2 separate regions of the Mus musculus genome follow, and region 2 is reported to be linked to region 1. Evidence: microRNA targets listed by miRTarBase, many of them from high-throughput screens and not tested one by one. Region 1 holds a microRNA gene; the other region holds the end of a gene's coding sequence.
The links. Region 1 holds the annotated microRNA mmu-miR-196b-5p (UAGGUAGUUUCCUGUUGUUGGG, at 2,161-2,182, shown strand). A microRNA usually pairs through its seed, bases 2 to 8, with sites in the 3' UTR of a target mRNA and lowers its output. Matches are read on the target gene's strand: a 7mer-m8 pairs with bases 2 to 8, a 7mer-A1 pairs with bases 2 to 7 and ends in A, and an 8mer does both.

Region 1 (4,393 bases):
TTGGTGTTTGTTTGCTTGTTTTCTGGGGGAAAAAGCCATATCGCTAAAATTCTATAGAGGTTGAGATCTTTCTCAGTGTCAAGTCCTGAATGGGCTGGGTTTGCTGCCTCTGGGACCCACTGCTAGGAAAGGGCCCCAGTACTCCTCCACGGATCTGGTTTCCTGCCCAGCCCTGGGTAAACTTAGCCGGAAGCCTTAGGTCCCATTGTCGGCGCTGAGGTGTCTGGCCTGAGGTCAATGGTGCAAGGAGCCGCCACCGGGTTCGCCAGCCTGGAGTGCTGGGCTGTGTTTAATCAGGGAGTCCAGGCCTGGTTTCTCTTTTCTTTCTTCTTTTCTTCCTTGGCCAAGAGCAGAGTATGGAAGCATGGACATTCAGGTTAGCTAAAGGGCTTGACCTGGCTGGTTGAAAAAGTGAAAAAGAAATAATCAGTAAGATTAATTTTTCCTTCTTTTGTAAGATCTCCCAGCTTTAAATGAAAATTAAAATGGGCAAGAGAAGGAAACCTCTCTTCCCGTTTGCCTAAGGTCTTGCTTGCCTGGCTAAAATCCTTCATTCACCTTTGAGTTTCCATATCCCTGCTGTTAACAAATAATGCAGGTTTGTTTATACATGTGGAACTGGTGGATTTTCGTCATTAAAACTGTTACCAATTGGTAACACAAGAAAAGCACACCACAATTCTCCCTATTTAATGGAGGTTGTTTTTTTTTTTTTGCTTTAATTCACTTTTTGTTTTTGTTTTTGTTTTTTATTTTGTAGGCTTTCTGAAATTCATGGAAGCCTAGGTGGGCTGGGGCAAGCAGAAATAAAAATGAGAGAAGGGAGATATTGTTTGGATTTCCTTTATACTGTGAAGTTACATGCATAAAAGGGTCAAACCTGTAGGTGCAGAAAAGAAAAAAAAAACCTATAAATACAAATCTGTATAAATGTCTATTATTATGAAAAATTGCCAATCTTGTTTAAGCAAATGCATTCTATCGTTATTATAAATGTTAGTTCTAGCTTTATTTACTTCAAAATCTTAAATCAGAATAAATTAATATTGTATTGCTGCTGTGCGTGGAAAAAGATGATGTTTATGTTCTTATAGAATAAAAGCTGTGGAATGAAGCTTTTTAATTTCACCTCTTTTTTGACTTCTTATCTTCACCTTCCATTTTATCCTGTCCACCACTTTTACAACAGGAGGGCTAGCCCGAGCCCCCTGCAATTACTTTAGGCATCTATTTAAATATTACCTAGACGGTCGTAATTTGTCTGGGCCCTATAGCCCTGGTGCCTTAAGGTTTGTCGGCTTTTGTTCAGTTTTATGACTTGCTAGTATATCTGGATTGTGGCTGTCTTGGACCAGTGGTTTCAGTTGAGAGGAGAGCGGCATAGACAGAGGAAGCTAAACAGGATTTCTTTAGAGAGCCCCAGAGAGGCTCGCAGGAGCCAGTTATTTTGCGGGTATCCAGGTCCCAGAAGAACCCACGCCCGAAATCCGCGGAGGAGGGCCCACTCACGGAGCACCACTAGTGCCTGCAACAGCGGTTAAGTGGACCTGGGCCGAGCTGTCCAGGGTCACCCCCTCCCCCTGCCCGGCCTCCCCCACCTGGCGGTCCTCCGCTAGGCCACGCGTTTCCTGCTCGCCGGAGGGGGGGGGGGAACACTAGGTGGGGGAAGGGTCGCGGGAGCGCGCGCCTCAGCGGGCGGGCGCCTAGGAGGGAGAAGAGGGGGAGAGCGAGCGGCTGCGGGGAGTGAGTAGAAGAGGCCGCGGCCAGCCACAGGACCCGGCTCTTCGTTGCTGTCCCCTGCGTTTTCTGGTCGTCCAGGGAGGCTCTGTTTGGCAAAGCTGCAGAATCTGGGGAACCCGCCTCACACCGCTGGGTCTCCCCCCCCCCCCCTTCTAGTTTTTTCCCCCTTCCTTTTTATTTCCTCCCTCTTTCTCGTCCCCCTTCCCTCCTTTTCACTCTCTCCTCCTAGGCGTACCTTTCCGGAGCCTGGAGCCCTCTTCATCCACCATGGGGTTAGGGTGGTGTCTGGTACAGGTTGCGGAGGAGGGCTCGACTGGGCACAATCGCAGGGCTCTTTCCTTGGCGGCGACAGTGGCAGCAGCGGAGGCGGCGAGGGGCGAGGCAACCCTACGCCCGCAGCATCAGAACTGGTCGGTGATTTAGGTAGTTTCCTGTTGTTGGGATCCACCTTTCTCTCGACAGCACGACACTGCCTTCATTACTTCAGTTGAAAGCATCTCCAGGTACCTGTCCAGAGCAGCCCGGGATGGCTAGGCGGGCCATCAAGGCCTAATCGTGCCAGGCCTGCGGTGGCAACCTCAGATCCCCATGTGCAGGAGGAGCTTCGGGTCTTCCTCGGCGCTGTGCCACCCAGCCCGCCTCACTGTCGCCGCCCGGCACCTGGCCCGGAGCAGGTACAGTCAGGTTAGCGGCTGATTCTTGGACGCCGGGGGCGTGGTAAGAATTCTGGGCCCCAGGCCATTCAAGGTCAGGGGCGCTCGTTTGCTGTCTGAGCTTTCCATACCTGTGCCTGTGTGGGGCTCTGTCATTTTCCTGCAAGGCTGGGCTGGAACACATGCTCGTCACTGTAATCCCGCTACGAGCAGAGGCAAAGGTCCTTCGCCAGTAGAGACCCAGCCAGAGACGGGAGAGTCAGGACAGCCCGGGGCTGGTATCCTGGCCTTGTTGCTTACCCTTCCTCTGCAAGGGCGCCCTCTACTCTCAGTTGCCGCTGTTTCTTTTACGTATTTTTATCCTCTTTCCTTTCTTCTTTCTTTTTTTTTTTTCCTTTCCCTTACTCCTTCCTTTTTTTTCTTTTCTTTTTCTTGCATCTTCCATCTTTCTGTCCAAATCTGTCTCTCCGCTTCCATTCCAAATCGTTCTTCCGGAGGGTAAAGGGCTGGCTTAGAGAAAGCTTCGAGGTTTCATTCCCCCCACCCCCTCGGTACACAGTTTTGAATGTGCTAAGGTGTGCATAAGGGAAGCTGGTCAGGTCCGTGTTTTCTGGCCTGGTGGGCCTCTGCGCAGACAAGGCCTCGGTTACGATCACGACCGGATGGCGGCGGCCTTGCGTTAGCGGCTGCCCGAGAGATCCGGTGAGGGGGCACCCGCGGCGTCTTTGTGTGCCCACATCGAGGGCAGGAAACACTTTGCCAGATCCATTGGTTCGGAAATTGGAATCAGGGCTGAATTCCTGCCTAGGTTCTGTGTCGCCCGACTACTGAGAACGCTTCAGCGGGAAGCTTCTGACCGACTCTGCCAGCTTTACGGGTCCTAACTCGGGCTTTGACCGTGATGAGAGAGCCTCACCGGGTCCAAGGCTTGACTGCTCGCTGGCTTGCTAGCCATTTTAGATTCAGAAAATGTCCTGCCTTGTGCAACTGAGGGTTTGAGAAGGGAGACCTTCCCAGGTCCAATATATTTTAAATGAGTGAAAACAATCCCAAATTCAAGATCAGGGAGGGCACAAACTGGGGCACTGGTACTAAATTGTAATCTAAGAAAACCAGCCTAACGACTCTTAATACAGAAACCTGAAACAAACCACCCTCTCCCCACCCCCAACAACACAGGCACTGCCTGAGACCACAGAACTCTGTTTCCCTTCCCGGCTCAGGCTGATGCCCGGGAATTGTTTTCGTTGCTCAGCCAACAACCTGTTATCTGAGTGACCAGTACTCCAGGCTCCCTCCAACTCTTCTCTGCCATTTTCTGCATCCGGGTACTGGGCTTATTTCAAAGACCAACGTTTTTGGAAGATTCTCAGTTGAGCATGAGGTGTTGTGTGGTTGCATCCATTTATTATTTCTAGATGTGTATACAACTCATCCAAAAGAAAGCAGAAATAAAAACCTGTATACTTTAGGATCATGTTTCTAGACTCACAAGGACAATATCTCCTTTTATGAATTTTCCCCCTTTTGGGCCACATGTAAACAGCTGCTTAATACTCAGTACCTAATTCTTTGTAATTTTTCTGTTTTGAGACTAAAGTTTTAAAAGTATTTTAAATTAATAAATATTAATGATATTAATGATGATGGTGATGATACATATCTTCTCTGAATACAAAAAATGAAAAAGTCAGCCAGGAATACTCTACCATTTACTATTACAATTAAGAGCAGAGTTATACTCCTGGGTTATTGCTTTAATGAAAACCTGAACCTCAGAGGACTACCGGATATTTAGAACACCTTGGGTTGTGTTGGGGGTGTGTGTGTCTTGGAGGAATTTGCAGGGAAAGGAAAAATATTAGGGGGAGGGGACTGAGGCAGTCAGGACAGGCCACATCCAGTTCCTGGCGCTGACCACTTTCTTCTTCCTGCCGACAAGCGAGGGGGTGTGGATCCCGGGAGCTTCCCAGCCCCTCTCTGGTGGAGAGCCTAATATT
Region 2 (4,393 bases), not on the chromosome of region 1:
CAGAAGTACTGGCTTGTTATTTACATAGGGAATCCTGTTTCAAACATAAAATAATCTGTCTTTCTCTCAATATGAACAAGACCTAATTTCCATATGCTGTATATCTGTGTGTATAGATGTTTCGATCTCTGAGGAAGGATAATAATTTATCTGGAGCCCAAAATATTCATTTTAAAAAAAAACAAAAAAACAACAGGCCATTTGGTGGTCTTCTGCTGTGATCAGTGAACTCGTTTTCAGTTGAGCTTATTAAAATGGCAGGAAGTATTATTCCACTGTAGTGTATACTGCTTCCTTGGATGGTCTTGAATTTTCTTAACTTTCAGCTGATAGAACTTATTCAGTGGTGAGTCAGCACAGGTATGACTGAATTTTGTTAGAAATGAATTTTTTGTTGTTAAATTTTAAACATTGGTCAGTAATACTATTGAAGTCAAATCTACTCTGCTGTTTACTTTATTTTGAAATTGTGCCTCTTCCACAGCCCAAAGTGGTCACAGATACAGATGAGACTGAACTTGCAAGGCAGCTGGAACGGCTGGAGAGAGAAAATGCAGAAGTGGATGGAGATGATGATGCAGAAGAAATGGAAGCCAAAGCTGAAGATTAACGTTTTGGCAAACAGTCCAATTTAAGGAGTACGAAGCAGCCCTTCCTGGCTGTCAACCCTAGACTTGAGAGTTTTCCAGTATTGAAAACTTCAAAGCTGAATATTTTTATTTCCAAGTATTTAAGTATTCAACAAGCCAGAATCTAAATGCCCTCCTTCATGTCAGCTGTTTCCACATAGTGGCTCTAACACCTCAAGCATTTTTCAAGGGAGTGGCTTGATTTGACCAGAGACAAATCTTAAACAGCAGTCCTAATATTGGGCCTACAGTTTCCATTTCTCATGTCTCTGGAATGGCACCCTTATGGTTCAGAGATTTACCAGGGACTCCAAACACAAACAATCCCAATCTTTCTATATAAAATGTATTCAAGCAAACATCAAATAAATTTCTGGGATATTTAATTGTAGGCTTCTTCCTTCTTGTCACAAGTTAAAGCCAATCTGAATGCTCAGATCCTAATTATCTTCATATGGTAGAACTCAATGGGCAAGTAACTAAATGACTTATGCAGGAACAGACTCTCCAAAGGAATGTTAGAGAAGAAATTAGGAATTTGACCCCTGGTAGAGAAAAACCTTGAAATCAATTAAAGATTTATGTGCCTGTTAACTTACTTGAAAGCAGTGATAACTTGTGTGAGAAGTCATCACACTCAGTCCCTTTGGTTTATTCTAAGCTACTTACCTTGAATTCATAATTCAAGGGGTATTTTAATGTGCTGCTGCTTTGATGGAGTTATTTTGAGCAGCATCACCCATCTGAAGGGGACAGTTTCCTCTATCTGGTAGGTGCTACCTAATTCTTGAGTTGTGTGTATGTGTGTGTGTGTGTGTATATATACATACATGGTTTTATATATATATAAACCACACATGATGTGATTTAACAAAATTTTTAATCCCATTTTTACCTTCTCAAACTAGCTACTTTAAAGGTTAATGTGCAAAATAATTTTTTCAAATAACACAAAGTTACAGCTACAATATCACATGTAGAAAGTCTTCATTTAGTTTGGCATGCTTATCTTAGGATATGTATACTATTTATTATCTGTAAGCAAACTTGAAACTAAGTCAGTCCAGGACTAGACATCATGGGAAGAGTTCTAGAGTTGGGTACAGAAGCACATGCTGATGGCTCCAGTACTTGGAAAGTTGAGGAGGGAAAATTCCTTGAGCCAAGAGTTGCTGATCAGCCTGGACAACCACTGCAAGACTCTGTATCAAAAGGATTGGAAATTAGAATGTTGAGAGATGTTTTATGCCATTTATGAAAGTTCTTTTGTTTAATCTACTGGTCTAACCTTGTGTGACCCATTTCCGAGGAGCCATGCTTGCTAGTCTGCATACCATGTTGCTAGTATTTAGGGACTCTGAATGTACTCCAGATTGGCTGACTACAGCAGTGGTTCTCAACCTTCCTAATGCTGGGACCTGTCGATACAGGTCTTCACATTGAGGTGACCCCCCAACCATAAAGTTATTTTTGTTACCACTTCATAACTTTAATTTTGCTACTATTATGAATCATAATATAAATATCTGGTTTTTGATGGTCTAGAACAACCACTGGTCATGCATCAAGAAGCAAGTTTAGGGCCAGGTATGGTAGTGCATGCCTTTAGTCCCATCATAGACAGTGGCAGTTGGATCTCTGAGTTCAAGGCATAGCTGGTCTATATATACCAAGTTACAGGTCACCTAAGACTGCATAGTGAGACTGTCTCAATTTTTTTTTCAAGTTTATAAAAGAACATGAAGGTGTTACCAAAGCTGCAATAGTAACTGTAATCTCAGATAATTCAGAGACAGAATACACATATTTTAAGGATTTAGAAATATAGCTAAGTTGGCCTGGTGCATAGCTAGCAAGTCAAGGCCCTGGGATCAATCCCCATTACCACAGAAGAAAAAATGTATTATCAAGTATAGCAAGCGCCCTTTTCCTAGGGATTGTTTACTGAAAAGTTTTATATTTAAGAGAACAATTTAGTCAGGTTGGTGGCATATATCTTTAATTCCAGTACTTGGGAGGCTAGCCTAGTTTTCAAAGCAAGTTCCAGCGCTGTTACACAGAGAAACCCTGTCTCCAAAAAAAAATTTAAGCCAGCCAGCCATGGTAGTGCACACCTTAAATCAGAGCAGTCTCAAGACTGGGTCTACAAAGCAAGTTCCAAATCAGCCAGGCTACACAGAGAAACACTGTCTCAAAGAATTAGAAATAGCTTATGGCTCCGTGATAGATTTTAATCTATCTGAGCTTTGTTGCTAGGTTCTACAGTTGTGTAAAATGCTGACTAGCCTGGGAGATCAATACTGCAGTGATCCTGTGATGAAAAGAACAAACTAAGACACATTAGGCCAGGCAGACTCACCCAGCTGTGAGACTGAACAGTGTAAACAACACACAGAACTTACATATCTTGGTTCTCCCACCAAAGCCTTCTCATTAAAAATGCTAATAGTTCTGTTTTCCTTCTGCCATCGATTACAGTCATATGGTCCTTAATTTATACAACAAAATAAATAGACTTCATGACTCCTAACAATGATTTGAAACTAACTAAAACGAAACATTGAAACTGCTTTTTTTAATTAGTTTTATAACCAAACATAGCCAATTTTCATGAATATGTTCCAAGTTTTGGGGGGTTTATTTTGTTTGGTTGATTGGGGTTGTGTGTGGGGGGGGGTATTTCAAGATGTTCAGGTTCTTAACTGGAGCTCTAGAGATGTGCTGATCTTTGGGCCACTACTTAGCTATTGTACACCAGCCCATTTGTGTCCTGGGCATTTTTTTTTTTTTTTTTTTACAACGAGAACAATTAAAATGAGTAGGCATGAAAAAAAGCTGGGTCTAGCTAGACCTTGCCAGCTCCACTGCTTTGTCTCAAGCCAGTGCTCATCTGTTTTAGAACCCTTGAGAATCCTCTCACCCATAGCTATGGGAAGCAGGAAGCTATCAAGCCAAATGTAGTTTAATTCCGATAAGCACCTGTCAACATTCTAAAAGTAACTCTAGGTACATTAAACCTGGAAAGATGCCAAATGAAAAAAACGGTGCTTGAAAAGGCAGTCTCTTACAAAGTAAGGAGTAAAGGGAGAAACAGACAAGTTCTTGGGATTCCAAACACGGGGTCAGATATTCCAGACGTTAAGAGGAAATCTATTTTAAGAGAAGTTTTTACTTAGACACTTTAGAAATATCCACTCCCCTTAAATGTAAGTCATGTATTTTATCTATTAAAGTCCAAGCCATTGTCCTTGGCAAGAATCCTGGCCATCACTGCCAGATCACTGTATACATTTAATAAAAAATATTTATAAAAACACTGTATGATACAGACTTGTCACTTTAACCCCCAACTGGGGATGAGCTAATGTTCATTTTTAGACCAAAGTTTTATACCTTGAGTTAACTTTTGTCATTTGTATCCTTGTCGTTTGGAGAGCTGAGGCTCCACATCTTTCTAAATGTCCATTTTATATAAAAAAAAAAAAAAAAGCTGTATTTCTGCCTTTTAAAAAATATCTGCGACAGATTTCAAGAGTATGACATCTGCAACTTGTGATACCTACTGTCTTACAGTACAAGACAAACAGTATCCTCTGAACAGACATCTGTTTGTCAGCATCCCCACTTTAAAGTGAGAAACATCATCCTGGTGACAGATCACCAGAGATTCCTCCACAACCAGCTTCCGTAATACATAGGGCCTCACAGGTTAGAAACCTGTGGGAACCAGAGAACTAACTACAAGAACCATAACAGTCAGGGAC

Region 2: miRTarBase lists Eif2s1 as a target of mmu-miR-196b-5p. Seed matches in the 3' UTR shown: 7mer-A1 at 1,406-1,412.

Annotation. Positions count from the first base shown.
Region 1 is chr6:52,227,918-52,232,310 of GRCm38, reverse strand. It overlaps Mir196b (microRNA 196b), which reads left to right and starts at 2,146; the gene lies at 2,146-2,230. It overlaps Hoxa10 (homeobox A10), which reads left to right. Exons shown (of 2, transcript NM_008263.3): 2 at 1-1,114. It overlaps Gm52902 (a long non-coding RNA gene), which reads right to left. Exons shown (of 2, transcript XR_003956434.1): 1 at 1,976-4,393; 2 at 1-399.
Region 2 is chr12:78,884,307-78,888,699 of GRCm38, forward strand. Eif2s1 (eukaryotic translation initiation factor 2, subunit 1 alpha) reads left to right here. Exons shown (of 8, transcript NM_026114.3): 8 at 485-2,704. The coding sequence ends at 610. Plek2 (pleckstrin 2) reads right to left here. Exons shown (of 9, transcript NM_013738.3): 9 at 4,391-4,393. Among named protein-coding and RNA genes, the nearest start is that of Plek2, 20 kb to the right of the region's middle.